2 linked regions of the Elephas maximus indicus genome follow. Each later gene encodes a partner of the first gene's protein in a complex. Links are inferred from orthologs where the notes say so. Each region holds a gene or a part of one and is shown on either strand. Other genes may lie near its edges.

What was found.
Region 2: MED13 (region 1) and MED19 share a complex: the UniProt entries of both Homo sapiens proteins name them as parts of the mediator complex. The link is inferred for Elephas maximus indicus from reciprocal best matches to the Homo sapiens genes MED13 and MED19.

Annotation. Positions count from the first base shown.
Region 1 is NC_064837.1:34,008,292-34,016,154, forward strand, and holds the start of MED13 (mediator of RNA polymerase II transcription subunit 13), read right to left. Parts: upstream 3,499-7,863; 5' UTR 3,385-3,498; coding exon 3,319-3,384; intron 1,456-3,318; coding exon 1,221-1,455; intron 1-1,220. UniProt on the Homo sapiens protein: Component of the Mediator complex, a coactivator involved in the regulated transcription of nearly all RNA polymerase II-dependent genes.
Region 2 is NC_064825.1:119,108,779-119,116,468, forward strand, and holds the start of MED19 (mediator of RNA polymerase II transcription subunit 19), read right to left. Parts: upstream 3,317-7,690; 5' UTR 3,269-3,316; coding exon 3,001-3,268; intron 1-3,000. Other genes in the region: TMX2 (thioredoxin-related transmembrane protein 2), read left to right, coding at 3,661-3,849. UniProt on the Homo sapiens protein: Component of the Mediator complex, a coactivator involved in the regulated transcription of nearly all RNA polymerase II-dependent genes.

The DNA.
Region 1 (7,863 bases):
CATCTTATATATTTAGAACTATATAATACACCTAGAACTAAGGGCTGGACTCTCCAGCAAGCAGCTTATAAGGAAAGCCGGAAAGCTTTATCGTAACAGAATTGCAACCATTCTCAAGAAATTAGGATTAATACTTAACGGTGTGTTCATTACAAGGTAAAAAGCAAGCATCAAAACAAATAGCCACAACACATACATTCCTGCACAAAGGCTGATCTTGCTAAATAACTGTTTGATACAAAGACACCTGGATTACGTTTCATTTAAAAAGAAAATAGGTCCTATGTGTCAAACAGACAGTAAGAGAAAATTCAGAAACTGCCTTTTTTTTTTTTTTAATTCCCTAGAAATTCTAAATTTACCTGTCAAAAATCATTACCAAATCTTTAGTATCTTGGAGCACACAACTACTCGTTTACATTCTTATCACCAAAGAATCAGTTAACATTGACTCTTACAGTCTAAAGTAAACACAAGTTTCAGAAATTACATGAAGGTCTATAGCCTCTTTCTAAAGTAACGTTTGGTCCTAAAGGTTATGAGAATAAGGTGGAAGTAATCATATTGATTTGCTCACAATAAAATTACTTCTGCATAACCTTTCAGATTATGACACCACATCCTGTAAAAGCTAAACAAGATGTACCTGTCTCGTTATATTAACGATAGTTTTTGATGGAACAGTACCTCGGATAAAATAATCACTCTCCAAGAATAAAAAAAATTAACATATGCCTTCATGTGTTAATAAAACAATAACAAAATAACTATATGCTGTCAAAAACAAGAAAAATTCACAACACACCACTTCTAGATATTCCTATAATTGTCTGGCTATTCATGCAGTACAGAGCAGTGGCAGAATTGACTCCCAGGTGTGGTACACTTGGCTTCAAAGGTATTATATGACTTTGTTGAGAACTTCATGCCCCCAAATTCCATTTTTCTTAAGTTAATATAGCATGTTTTCCTGAAGCCTAACTGCCTGTGAGAAATTCAGAGCAACGTGGGTAGAAGGAAAAAACCTGCCATAACACACATGGATAGCATATTTTAAATAACCATGGTGTAATAAAACACAGGGCTTAATTTTTATCTGGCTTCATATCTAACAATGTTCCATCAAAAAAAAAAAATCCTAATTTGTAATACAAATGTTATTTTGGGGAAAGTATACAATCTTACTACATAATTAGTTGAAAGTGATAAGCTGCTTTCACCTGATAAGTCATGGTGAATAAGGTCAGCAAAGTTAGGGTCTTCACCCCACCAAAATATCCATAATTCTCTTCTTCCAGGTCTTTGATCTCGCCGCCAAACACCAAGTACATCTGCCTTAAGGCATCGACTAAAACTGCTCAAAATGGGGTCTTCCTCAGTTACCGGAAACAGAATAGGGGCAGAAGTTGGGCCTTGCCATACGTATCTTTTCCATTTAATTCCGGTCAAGTCAGCCTGAAGAAAAGAAAGCATGACTTTTTATTACTGTGCATTCAAAGTTAAAACTATTCACCATAAAAGTCCCTTTTTCATTAAGACACTGCAATTTTTCAATATATGCTTAAAATATTCAAAGTGGCTTAAAACCAAAAAAAAGTAAAAAAGCTTTATACATCTGATAATAACCAAGAATTTAAAAAGAACAAAAACAGTTAAAATATTAACACTGACATGTCACAAATTAGCAAGTCAATAAATATAATGTGCCCCAAATAGAAATAAAAGAATGTTAAATATAAACATGTACTTTAACACTGCACACTGACTGAGTAAACATTTTTTTCTCTGTCCTAAATTCTACTCTAAGTGGTCCTGTTTGTCCCCTGGTGTCAAACTTTTAACTAAAAATTAATTTTTAAAAATTTATCATTCCATGTTTGTAGAAGTCATAGCTCTAATAAAAAGATATCTGAATACTTCCTGTAAAAATTCTAGTTAATTCTTGCCACATCCACTTTAGGAAAAATCACATAGCTGCCCACAAAGAAATCTCAGATTTGTGCTAGACTATCTTCAAAGAACTTGATCCTAAAAGTACCAAAAATAGACTGAGTTGGAGAGCACAGAAATTCAAAACCTGGTGTATGTCTTTTTACATGCAAAGATGCTGATTAATGGACATTATACAAGAAAACCAACATAATTTACAGGGGGGAAGGCATTACAGATCTCAATAGCACTGTGAAAGAGATTCGACAGAGGGAATCCATTAATTCTTCAACCTCACTTAAAGGGGCAAAGCATAAGGTGCCAAAAATGAAACTGCTGATACATGACTGGCAGTTTGCACTTGCCAATTAGTTGTGCTCCGCCCACTCAACTCATTTACCTATCATATACTCTTAATATTTCCCATAGCACAGAGGAAAATGAAAAAAGTCACCCAAACTTTGTCACCAAATTAAGCTATTGCCCATTTCTGAACTACGTATTTGCAACAGTTGGTACTTTGGGAAGTCTTATATGTTCTAAGTTCCCAGGCCTGGACCAATCAACACGATTGTCATTTCTCCGTATAGCTTCCCCAGACTTTCCATTTCAATAAAACATGGAGCAGCCTGCTCAAAGCATTCTGAAAAGGCAAGCAAAACAGACCAATATAGAAACAGAGCAAAACCATAGCACCTCCTCCATTAGCCCCCTCCACTCTCACACAAGCATAATGTTCTAATAATAGCAAGATGGCTAGAAATTGTCAAAATGGCAAACTTTTCAAAGTTTAGGAAGAAAACATATGAAATGGCATCTACTGGTTTTTACACAAAGATGTGAAGTCACCCAGAAGTCAAACTGTTAGTCTGACGCGTAGAAAAAATGTAAAATGGGGGGGGGGGGGAGTCAGTGCATAAACTCTGGGGTCCTGTTTATTAGGAGAAACCAAATTACCAGAGCGAAGTATAAAGACAGTGGGAGAACAGGCAATAATAGAAAGTGTGAAGAGGGATACAGGATCAAAAAAGAGAAAAGCAATAGTTAGGCAAAAAATGCAGACGGAAATGTTAATTAAGTCAGTGTCCCGGCAGATGAGGTGCCCAAGTTGAAGAGAAGACTACGATGCGGGGGGGGGGGGGGGAGTCAGAAACAAGACAAGAAACAAACTCCCCACTCCCGAGAGCTCAGGACGGCGACCGAGCGGACGCCGTCTCCCGGGGCTGGGTGCGGGGCCTCGCGGCCGCGCCGGCTCCACTGGGCCTGGCCTGGGACTCGGGCGCCGGGATCAGACCCGGACCCCCTCCCCCACGGCCCAAGGGCGCACCTCGCGGCCCCTCCCTCAGCGCCCCACTCGCCGCCGTCCCCGCCCGCGGCCCGGGCACTCACCAGGCAGAAAAGGTTACAGTGACAATCTTCCAGGCTGGCCCCGTTCGGCACGAAGGAGGAACTCATCGTCCCTCACAGCAGCCGCCGCCGGCGCCACAACCCACCATCCGCCATTACCGCCGCCTCCGACCAGAGAGAGAAACACAGACACCGGGCAGGGCGGGGGGGGTGGCGGCTGGGGGGGGCGATGGAAGAGGAGGCCGCCGGGCCGCCCGCCCTCCCCACCCACCCCCCCGCCGCCGCGAGCAGCCCCCGCCGCCCGGCCGGCACCCAGCCGCCCGGGGCCGAGGACCGGAGGCGGGAGGGCCGCGCAGCGCTCGCTCCGCGGGCCGGTCTGCGGCTGCCGCGGAGCCCGCAGGCGCTTGCCCCTCTCTGGGGGACAGAGGAGATGTATGCCCCTTCCACCAGAAAAATAATAAATTACACAATAAATAATTGAAATCGAGTCCGAGACGGTCGAGCCCAAGCCCCAGACGATTCCCTCGGGCGGGGAGGCGGCCGCAGAGGAGCTGGAAGGGCGAGAACCGGGAGGGAAGCCCAGGCCCCCGGCCCGGCAGCGGCGATGTCCTTAAGCCCAGAGTCTCCTCAGTGGCGGAGGTGGTGGCGGCGTCTGGGGCTCAGACCATTCTCCGGCTGTCTTCGTGTCGTCCCTGGGCCGGGCCGACCTAACGTCTGCTCTCCTGCGGCCTCACAGCCTGGACGCAGTAGCCTCCCCCATTTTGTGGGCCCAGCGGGCGGTGTTTTTCCCCCTTTAATCCGAATTCACGGGTTTTCCCTTCGCTTTAATGGCGGCCACAGGGACCAGCTCGCCCTCTCTGCTCGCCTATTGGCCGTCTTAAGGTCACGTGGACGCGGGCTCCGTGGGGAGGGGGAGAGAGAAGGGAGTGAGGGAGGGCTGGGAAGCTTTCCGCGGAGGTGGGGAGCCCCGGGGATGGGGCAGCCAGCTGGTGGCTACTAAGATAGCGCCATCTGCTGGGTGCTCCGGCTAGTGTCAAATGACCCGGGACTCGGGTTTATCTTTCTCCTTGTGCGGGAATTTACAGTACAAGGAGGTTCACAGCACAAATCTATGAGAATTATGTGGAAATCAGTTTGAATTCTTTGGAAGAGAAAGTGTTGCAAAAATTCCAAGGCATTCTTTCTCATTTATTCCACGAGGCCTCTGGGATGCAGCGGAAACCCGTGGGCTTCGGAGTCACACAGATCTGGATGGAGATACAATTTAGCCACGTGAAAGTTGTGTGATATGAAGATAGAAAACATAAACGAAACATATTGTGGTTAGTAGCCTGGGAATTAGAGTCACACACCCTGGTTCAAAACTTCAACAAGTCACTTAACCTCCTAGTGCTTCAATTCCCTCATTTCTGAAATGGAGAAAACACCACCCCTGGCTCACAGGGTTTTGTGATTATACATATAAAGCATGTAGGTAGTGCCTGGTACAGATAAACATTGTTAAGAGTTACCCACTATTGTTGTCATCATTACCTTATGCAGTCATTGTGAGGAGCAAGTGAACTAGTATATGTGAAGTGTCCACTTAAGAGTGTAATCTCCCTGAGAGCCAGGACTTTGTTTTGTTCACCATTATACCCCTACTGCCTAAAAGGTTTCTAGCACCCAGTTGTTAGTTGCATCAAGATGATTCCGACTCATGGTGACACCTGGGCACAAGTGGTTATACAGTCTAGCTGAAAGGCTGGTGATTGAAACCCACCCAGAGGTGCCCCGGAAGACAGGCCTGGCGATCTGCTTCCAAATCCTATGGAGTAGTTCTTCTGTGCACACATGGTCTTACCATAAGCGCCCAGTAGCTGCTTGATATTTATAAATTTAGAAATGAATGAATAGCAAGAGGTAGAAACCAAATACAATGTTAGTTCCCTTCCCCACAGAACACTTGGTTCTTGTCTGGATTACGCTCCAACGTAAGTGCTCAAAACATTTTTCCTGAGAGTTTTAGATACAGAATTACAAGAAAGGAAGGAAGGAAGAAGAAAAAAAGAGATGATTCAGAAGTTAGAAAAAGTAAAAGTTAGAACTAATCATAATTGTCTCTATAAAATAAATGATGAGCTCTACCATGTCTCTTCTTCAGCCACAGAGTAAAAAGCATTCCTTCATCCATCCATGTGTCCATCCATAGTGGTTAAGAGCCCAGATCTTGGATCCAGAAAAAGCATATAGAAAAGAATTCAGCCACTTACTAGTTGACCTTGGGTTGAATTCAACCTTAGATCAAAAAAATTTCTCTGACAATGGGATGGAGAGGGATACTGGCGAGGAGTGAGCTTCTTGGATCAGGTGGACACTTGAGACTATGTTGGCATCTCCTGCCTGGAGGGGAGATGAGAGGGTAGAAGGGTTAGAAGGTGGTGAAATGGACATGAAAAGAGAGAGTGGAGGGAGGGAACGGGCTGTCTCATTAGTGGGAGAGCATTTGGGAGTATGTAGCAAGGTGTATATAAGTTTTTGTGTAAGAGACTGACTTGATTTGTTAGCTCCCACTTAAAGCCCAATAAAAACTAAAAAAAAAAAAATTCTCTTATGCTCAGTTTTCTCATTGCAAAATAAAAGTACTTTCTGCCTAAAGTGTCTGGTGAATGAAACAATGTAGGTATAGTGCGTATCCTAGTGCTTACTAAATTTTAGCTGTTAATATATTTTTTAAATTGTTATTGAGTACTGCTGGCTCAAGTGAGTATGTTCCTGGTGTGTGCTAGGCCTCAGATACAAATATGAGTGAAATACCTTCCTGTCCTTCAAGATTCCTAAGGTGAGAAAATAAAGGAACAATTTCCCACAGACTACGATAAAATACGATGAAGATAATTGCTTGAATGAAGTATGTATCAACTTTGGCATAATAGAAGCTTTGGAGAAGGAGCACCAAAGTCAGAGAAGGCATCATGAAGTAGGAAGCATTTGAAATCAGATTTGAAGGATAAAATGAATTCTTATAAAGCCCTTTGAAGCAACTAAATCTTATTAAACCCAATTCAGATCCAAAGGCCACATATCAAAGTCAATTACACAAGCAGGACTAATTCAATCCAGGAGCTCAAATCAACTGAGGTCAGCATTCTTTCTAACTGAGTGCCAACACTAGGAGATAACAACCCTCAGGCCCAATCAGGTAAGGGGCCCTCTGCTCAGCTCTCTTCTACCCTTTTCCCTGAGGGAATCCTCGAACCTTTGTTCCCATTGCTTTTGTCATTCTGAAATGTAGTCCTCAATCCCTTATTTCAACCAAAAGTATCCATCCTCCTTAGAAGTCTCCCTCATCATTGTGTCCACTCCCAACTCTGAGCATCTTCCTCAGGACTCCAGTAGAATCAGCCTGAAAACTCCCTGATGGAAAGTAACATTTGATTGACGTTTCATTTGAAAGTCAGTCTTCTCAAAAAGAAGGGAGAGATAGGAGACAAGAAGGGAAGAAGACTCAAAGGAAAAATCTGAGGAAGATCATGGAAAGAAACAGAAGAGAAAGAGAGGAGAAATAGAGAATGAGAATGGAGAAGAAAATTGGAGGCGAGGGGACCCCATCTGTGAGGGGACTGGGAACATCAGGGGAGGAGGGGCAGACAGCAACATTGGTACACAGACGGCGTACAGTATGTATCAACTTTGGCATAATAGAAGCTTCGGAGAAGGAGCACCAAAGTCAGAGAAGGCATCATGAAGTAGGAAGCATTTGAAATCAGATTTGAAGGATAAAATGAATTCTTATAAAGCCCTTTGAAGCAACTAAATCTTATTAAACCCAATTCAGATATAACCACCTACATTCTGTTAACATGACATTTTGTGTAGTATAAACAGTAATAGAAATAAATGAAAACAATACATGCACATTGTCAAAAGTTTGGAAGATACAGAAAGGTGTAAAGATGAAAATTAAAAATGTATGTTGCAAAAAATTGCCCATAATATCACAATTCACAATTAACTACCCTTTAAGAGTTTCATGTATACCCTCCCAGATTTTACTCCATACATATTTTTCCTACATAAGGTCATACTATATATACAGTTTAGTATACACATTTATTGACCATCTAGTATGTGTCAGGTCATGTATGGGCAAGGCGCAGGGTATACAAGGAACTCATAATCTTGCTAGATTGGACATTTGGACAGTTGGATCACCAGGGGTCAAAACTCCAGGCCATGCCTGCAAGTTGTATAACATCAATCAACCCATTGGTAATAAATGGGTGTAATAATAGCACCTACATGTTAGAGTTGTTGTGAAGATTAAAAAGATAATCCAAGTAGGATTGGAAAGCCAATCAGGAATTTTTAAGGTGAATTTTAGACTTCAATTTGGGGCACCTATTATCTTCTATTTTTTGAGATATGATCTACATTTAAGAGTTTTTTAAGACCTTCAGCCTTTTGGGGGCTTCATTCTGAAAGAGACAGTGGAGGCACAGGCTTGCTATCACTTGGCTTGCAAGAAGGGTGACAGCGTACAGGCTGTCCTTGGATTATGAATGAGCTCCATTCCTAAATTTATCTTTAAGTCGAATTTGTATGTAA
Region 2 (7,690 bases), on another chromosome or scaffold:
GCCATTGAGTTGGACCCTGACTCAGATGACCCTATGTGCTACAGAGTAGAACTGTTCCACTGAGTTTTCTTGGCTGTAATCTTTACAGAAATAGATCATCAGGACTTTCTTCCACACAGCCGCCCGGTAGGCCTGAACCGCCAACCATGAGGTTAGCAGCCGATCACAAACTAGGTGGTCAATAAGGTATTTCTGTCTCTGTAGCTCCAGACCTTACCTCATTCTTTCCCTTTTCTTCACAGCCAAGCTTCTCAGAAGAGTGGTCTACTGTGAAGGGAGGAGACTCAGTACCACAGAACCTCTTCTCATAGTCTCTGGGCGCTGTATCCTGCCATTACAGTACCCTCATTTTTCCCCTCTCTGCCAGTTCTCCTCTTTCCACATGGTTATATTTAATAATGAAGACCAAAGATGACAGCCTTCAGTATAGATTACACTTCAACATAAAGAAAACAAATATCCCCACAACTGGACCAATAAGCAACATCATGATAAATGCAGAAACTAATGACATTTTTGAGCATTTCATTTTACGTGGTTTCACAAGCAAAGCCCATGGAAGCAGCAGTCAAGAAATCAAATGACATACTATACTGGGCAAGTTTGCAAAAGACCTCTTCCAAGTGTTAAAAAGCAAAGACGTCACGCTAAAAAGCTAAGGTGCACCTCACCCAAACCATGGTGTTTTCAATTACCACATATGCATACGAAAGCTGGACAATGAATAAGGAGGACCAAAGAAGAATTGATGCCTTTGAATTATAGTGTTGGCAAAGAAAACTGAATATACCATGGACGGCCAGAAGAATGAACAAATCTCTCCTGGAAGAAGTACAGCCAGAACGCTCCGTAGAAGCAGGGATGTCGAGACTTAATCTCATGTACTTTGGACATGTTATCAGGAGGGACCAGTCCCTGGAGAAGGACATCATGCTTGGTAAAGTAGGAGGCCAGTGAAAGAGAGGAAGACCCTCAATGAGATGGACTGACACAGTGGCTGCAACAACGGGCTCAAACATAGCAATGACTGTGAGAGGATGGTGCAGGACCCGGCAGTGTTTTGTTCTGTTGTACACAGGGTCGCTATCAATGTGAACTGACTCGATGGTATCTAATGCTTACTGCTCAGGTGAGAAGGCACTTTCTTTTTTTTTTTTTTATTAACTTTTATTAAGCTTCAAGTGAACGTTTACAAATCCAATCAGTCTGTCACATATAAGTTTACATACATCTTACTCTGTACTCCCACTTGCTCTCCCCCTAATGAGTCAGCCCTTTCAGTCTCTCCTTTCGTGACAATTTTGCCAGCTTCCCTCTCTCTCTATCCTCCCATCCCCCCTCCAGGCAAGAGATGCCAACACAATCTCAAGTATCCACCTGATATAATTAGCTCACTCTTCATCAGCATCTCTCCCCAACCAATGACCAGTCCCTTTCACGTCTGATGAGTTGTCTTCGGAGATGGTTCCTGTCCTGTGCCAATGGAAGGTCTGGGGACCATGGCCACCGGGATTCCTCTAGTCTCAGTCAGACCATTAAGTATGGTCTTTTTATGAGAATTTGGGGTCTGCATCCCACTGATCTCCTGCTCCCTCAGGAGTTCTCTGTTGTGCTCCCTGTCAGGGCAGTCATCGATTGTGGCCGGGCACCAACGAGTTCTTCTGGTCTCAGGATGATGTAGGTCTCTGGTTCATGTGGCCCTTTCTGTCTCTTGGGCTCTTAGTTGTCGTGTGACCTTGGTGGCACTTTCTTTTTAGTACTTTCTTTAATCTGTGTGTTCACCCAACTTCTCTCTCCCCAGCCCTTACTTTTCTCCTGAAAATGAATCCTGCATTTCTAACTTCCATTTATTCAACTGCATGTGGATTCAATTCTTATTTTTAAAACTCCAAATCTTCCCAATTTCACTCATGGCTTCTCTGTTTCAATCTATGGTACTCACATTCTCCAGATACTTTTAGAAAGTAGTACTCCTCAATTTAATAATCTCAATTCCTACTATCCTTGAGGAAGGCTCAAATTCCTTTGACTAGCACTCAAGACTAAACTCATCTTACTTCAATTTATCTTTAAGGCCTTACTAATTACTATTCCTCTATGCAAAAGTTATGATCCAACTAAATGGGTCTCCAACACGTCTTTAAAAAACCATTTTTCATATTGTTTCCTTTTAGGAAAATTCTTCCCAATTTTCCAAACAAATATTAATTCTTCAAGGTCTACCTCAAGCCACATCTTATTCATGCTATCATTTTGGACAACATGGAACATATTTTGAAAACCACCATGTAGTTCTCAATATTGTTCACTAAGTTACTGTTATTTGCTGTGTGAGAGGCATGAGCACAAAGTAATGAGACTGGTCTTGACAAAAAATACAGTCACATTACTTTATCCTTAAATCACATCTTTTGGATCCCCAGCCAAAATAAGTTCTTATAAGCAAGGACCAGTTATTATTAATTTCTCTCCCCTTGCCACTACACGCCCCCCCCACTTAGCATTTGCACAGAACAGGTGTTCAATCACTTGTCCACTGATATAAAAAGGTACACTCAAAATGAGTAAGGCAAAAGAAAGGTTAAAGAAACTCCTGGTGGGCATCAACTACTAACTAGCCAAAGGGAAATTAGATTCTTTAAGCTTCAGCTTTTTCACCTAAAAGATGCAAATAACAATGCCTGCCGAAAAGGACCATTCTAAATAAACTTCCAAGTACTGCACCAAACGCAAACCCTGAACCATTTTTAGGAAGCCATAAACCATTGTCAGGGTCAGAACCCGGATACAGACTGGAGGTTGGTCGTGGAGATGCACCAGCCCACGAATTCATGCCATCCCAGGAGTTGCCGATGCTCAGAGCCCTTCCGGCTTTGAGCAACTGTGCAGTGGCACGCGTTGCCTAGGTTACCTCGCACCTCCGCCGGCCGGCTTATAGCCACGCCCATCATCCCCTCTCCATGATCTGATTGGCTAGTTTAGGCCAGGCTTACTACTCACCTGGCAGTTCCCGCATTAGGTAGAAAGGGCCACAACCAGCCGCTGACTTATCGGCGCCAGGAGGGGCTGTGGCTGCGGAAGGAGGCGGGGCCGTGCCGGGTCCTCCGCCCGGCGGAGGAGGAGGCGGAGGCGGAGGCTTTCCGGGACCGAAGCTGAGTGCGGCTGGAGGCGGTGGTGGGTCAGCCTGAGCTCCAAAGAGCGCTGTGAAATTCTCCATCGTCCCCTCTGCCCCGACGGTGCCTCGGCTTCTGGCGTTGATTACTTTCATTGGACAATCCCTTCACGGGGCAACGCCCTCCACCTCCAGGAGCAGTTTATCACTGGATGCCCTAGGCCCCGCCTACGTTCTCCCCGCAACTACTTCCGTCGCTTTATGCGAACGTCCGGGAAATGCTATGTAACCGTATTAATTCTTCTCTGATATCTCCACCCACCGCAGTCAATATCCAATAACATGACTTAAATGGAAAGAGCGGCAGGTAGATTGACCAATAAAGTGTCAAATCCCTTTTTACCTACCAGCAGATCCAATAGACATCTATTTCCGGGTCAATAGGCGGTGCATCCGAGACTTGGTCCAATGGGAACTTCAAGTGGTGTGGGGGCGGGTACCAGACCTGCATACGCCGGTGAGCAGCGGGCGCCGCAAGGGCCGAAAAGATGGCGGTCTTGGCGCCTTTAATTGCATTGGTGTATTCGGTGCCTCGACTTTCACGATGGTTGGCCCGACCTTACTATCTCCTGTCAGCCCTGCTGTCCGCCTCGTTCTTACTCGTGAGGAAACTGCCGCCGCTCTGCCACAGTCTCCCCACGCAACGCGAAGACGGCAACCCGTGTGACTTTGACTGGGTGAGCGACCCCTGCCTGGGACCCCGCGACCTTGAAGCTCCTTGCCCCAGCGGCCACATTTGGGAGTCCCAGGCTTCACCTTTTTGAGGACATCTGAGGTCCCGAACCTGTCACGGACTTATAGGCTATTAGAGCGTAGGGCCCGGACCGTCATTGAGTCTAAGATGGGAGTACAGGAAAGAATGACGTCTCGGAGTTGTACAGTCCGTTAGTTATAGAGCCTGCCCAGCAGCCCAGACTCTGGTCCAGGGTTTTTTCCGTCTCACTATTCATATTCGTTAACTGCCCTGCCAAAACTTTTACAACGTTTTACAGTTTTTAAAGCTCTTTGCTGCATGTGATGTAAAGCCTCTTATTTGGGTAGATGAGGCAAGTAATAGTATTTATTATGTTTTATTGGTGTAGAAATTGGTCTCAGCATGGTTAGGCGACTTGTCCAAGGTCATACAACTACTGAGTGGCTGGCCTTGAAACCACTCTTCTGTCCATAGTACTTGCACAGTTTCTTAACAACAACAAAAAAGCTGCCGTCAATTCCGACTCATAGTGACCCTATGGGACAGAATAACACTGCTGTCGAGTCGATTCTGACTCATAGCGACCTGATAGGACAGGGTAGAACTGCCCCATAGGATTTCCAAGGAGCAGCTGATGGGTTCAAACAGCTGACCTTTTGGGTAGCAGCTGTTACTCTTAACCACTGCGCAACTGGGGCTCTGCATATTCTGTTAGTTATTTCTGAGTTTTGTAAACAGTTCCAGAGTTCATATTGGCGTTTGGAACCCACCGAGCGCGGATCCATGGGAGAAAGACCTGGCGATTTGCTCCCGTAAAGATTACAGCCTAGAAAACCTTGTGGGGCAGTTCTGCTCTTTCACATGGTGTCACTATGAGTTGAAATTGAACTCCATGGCACCCAATAGCAACAACAACATACAATGTACCAGGCACTATTGCTGGGTCCTGAGAGTGCAAAGACAAAACTGTTAGGCTTCATGTAAAGGGAACGTGAAAAGTACGTTGGAAAGCAATATAGAAAGCCTCTTGCTGTGCTCTTGAGTAGGATGGAGGGACTGCTCAGAAAAATGAGTTAAAGCCTTATGCCCACTGCTGTATATATAGCAGGATATGTGTTCTGATGAGGGAGAGTCATCCTGAATTTTTGTCTGTTTTCCATTCCCCAAAATGAGTCTGGACCTTTACCCAGCACCCATTCCCTTACTTTTTCCCTCCGTCCTGTTTACTCTTTTATGTTTCCTTTGCCCTTTCCAAGACTGTATTACTGATTAGTTCAAATGTGCCTGTGCTATTTCAAAAGATCTTATTTTTATCTGGTACTCTATACCACTTAAACAAAAATGGGACTGAAAAGGATAAGAGAATAGTAGTGAAGATTTTAATAAACATGTTGTTAGTTGCCGTGGAGTTGATTCCAACTAATAATGAAGGACTCTATAGGACAGAGTAGAGCTGCCTCACAGGGATTCCAAGGCTGTAATCTTTACGGAATGCCATATCTTTCTCCCATGGAGGGGGCTGGTGAGTTGGAACTGCTGATCTTTCAGTTAGCAGCTGAGCACTTAACCACTGCACCACCAGTACTTTTTGAGGTACCTCTGGGTGGGTTCAAACCACCAACCATTTGGCTAGTTGTCAAGCGTTTAATCATTTGCGCCACCCAGCCACTCCTTTAATAAACATAGAGACCTTTTATACGTAGTAAGTCCCTGGGTTATATGAAAGTCAGACTTACTGACAACTCATACTTCTGGGTTGTGATGGTCAGACTTACAACTTGTGCTTGCCCTTTAATGTTGTGTAAATTTGCCCTCACTTTGAAATGATTGAGTCAGCTCTTACAACAAATTCTTCACCACAGTCACCTTTGCTTGCTCATGCAACTTTCAAATCACTGAAAAGACTTTGAGCGTTTACTTGCACTGAAAAAAAAAAAACACCCAAACTCGTTGCCGTCGAATTGATTCCGACTCAGAGTCTATAGGACAGAGTACAACTGTCCCATAGGGTTTCCAAGGAGCAGCTGGTGGATTTGAACTGCCAACCTTTTGCTTAGCAGTCGAATTCTTAAAAGAACCATATGTACCTGTTCTCACTTACCTACAAATTTGACTTAAAGACACACTTAGGATCGGATCTCATTCATAACCCTGGGACTGCCTGTCTCTCTAGAGCGTTGTCTGATAATAACAAAATACTGGAAGGTTTTATGTTCTATTATTACTCTGCCAGAATTTATTTTTTTTAGTCACTTGACTATAATAGCCCTCCTGGCACAGTGGTTAAGAGCTTGGCTGCTAACCAAAAGGTTGGCAGTTCGAACCACCAGTTGTTCCTTGAAAACCCTATGGGGCAGCTCTGCTCACTCCTGTAGGGTCACTATGAGTTGGAATCGACTGGACAGTAACAGATTTGTTTGTTTATTTTAACTATAGTTGCCAGTTTTTATTTTCTAGGATAATTCTTGTTTTACTGATTTATCTTGGTGATTGGGAAGTTAGAGTATTAGAATAATATTAGCAGCATTAACAGATAAACTTCAAAGTTCCAGTGGTTTAACAGAATAAAAGTTTATTTCTGTTAATTAAAGGGAAAGAATCAAGCATTTATTTTGCCTTTCCTGTATGTCATGTCTTTTAGGGCAACCAAAGAATCGATAAGGGAAATTTGATTTTTTAATAAAAGAATTTGAGTTAATACAGAAGGAATGATAGAATTTAAAAATCATCTTTTAGCAACCCTGAATGAAGTAATGAATCTAGGCAGTGCTCACCTGTGGATGCTGAAATCATCAGATGAAAAGTCGATGTGTCTCCTGAAGTGATGTACCACCTGTGATGTATTTTTGCCAAAAGATTTGGATTTCACTGTATTCAGACCTCGAGATCTCATTCCCACTTTATAAGAAATATGGCAGATAGGGGATCATTATCAGAACACATGCCATGAGTCCAGAAAGTGGCAAAGTTGACAGCATCAGTGACTGAATGTCATCAGCAGATACATAGCATGGGGTAAAAAGGGAAATTAAAGAGATCAAAGAAACATATCAGTTAAATGCCATGTGTGCATGTTGCTTGAATCCTAACTTGAACAAACAACTGTACAGACATTTTGAGACAATCAGGATCCTGTGAATAAGGGCCAAGTATTAGATGAAAAAAAAATTTTTTTTTTTTATTAGATGACAGCAAGAAACTATTATGTTAAGTGTGATAATATATTGTGGTTTTGTTTTTTTAAAAAAAGTCCTTATCTGTAAGAGATGCCTGTTGATGTATTTACAGGTAAGAGGACAGAGCTGGAATTTCTTTCAATTTCCCCTGCAAAAGAAATAGGTAGCATGGATGAAATAGAACCAGATTAGCAAAATGTTGATTACTGTTGAAACTGGGTGATAGGAGTTCATTGAAGTATCTGTCATTTGTGTATGCTGGAAAATTTCCGTTCCGAAAAGTTTAAATGTAAGGAACACACAACAACCAAGAGAGCTTTGCTTCACTTAGTCAGTTTGAGACCTATGCTCCTTCTGTGGAAACCCTGGTGGCATAGTGGTTAAGACTTCAGCTGCTAACCAAAAGGTCTGTGGTTTGAATCCACCAGGTGCTCCTCGTAAACTCTATGGGGCAGTTCTACTCTGTCCTATAGAGTTGTTATGAGTTAGAATTGACTCCACGGCAGTAGGTGGGTTTCTTTTTTTTTGGCTGCTTCTGTTTTCGGTCAATATAGCCTTCAGGTCATCCCGCCATCACCCAGCCAGCAGATGAAAAAGGAAAGCTGGAACGTGAGGACATGTTGTCTCTACTGCCAGGGTGTGGAAGTG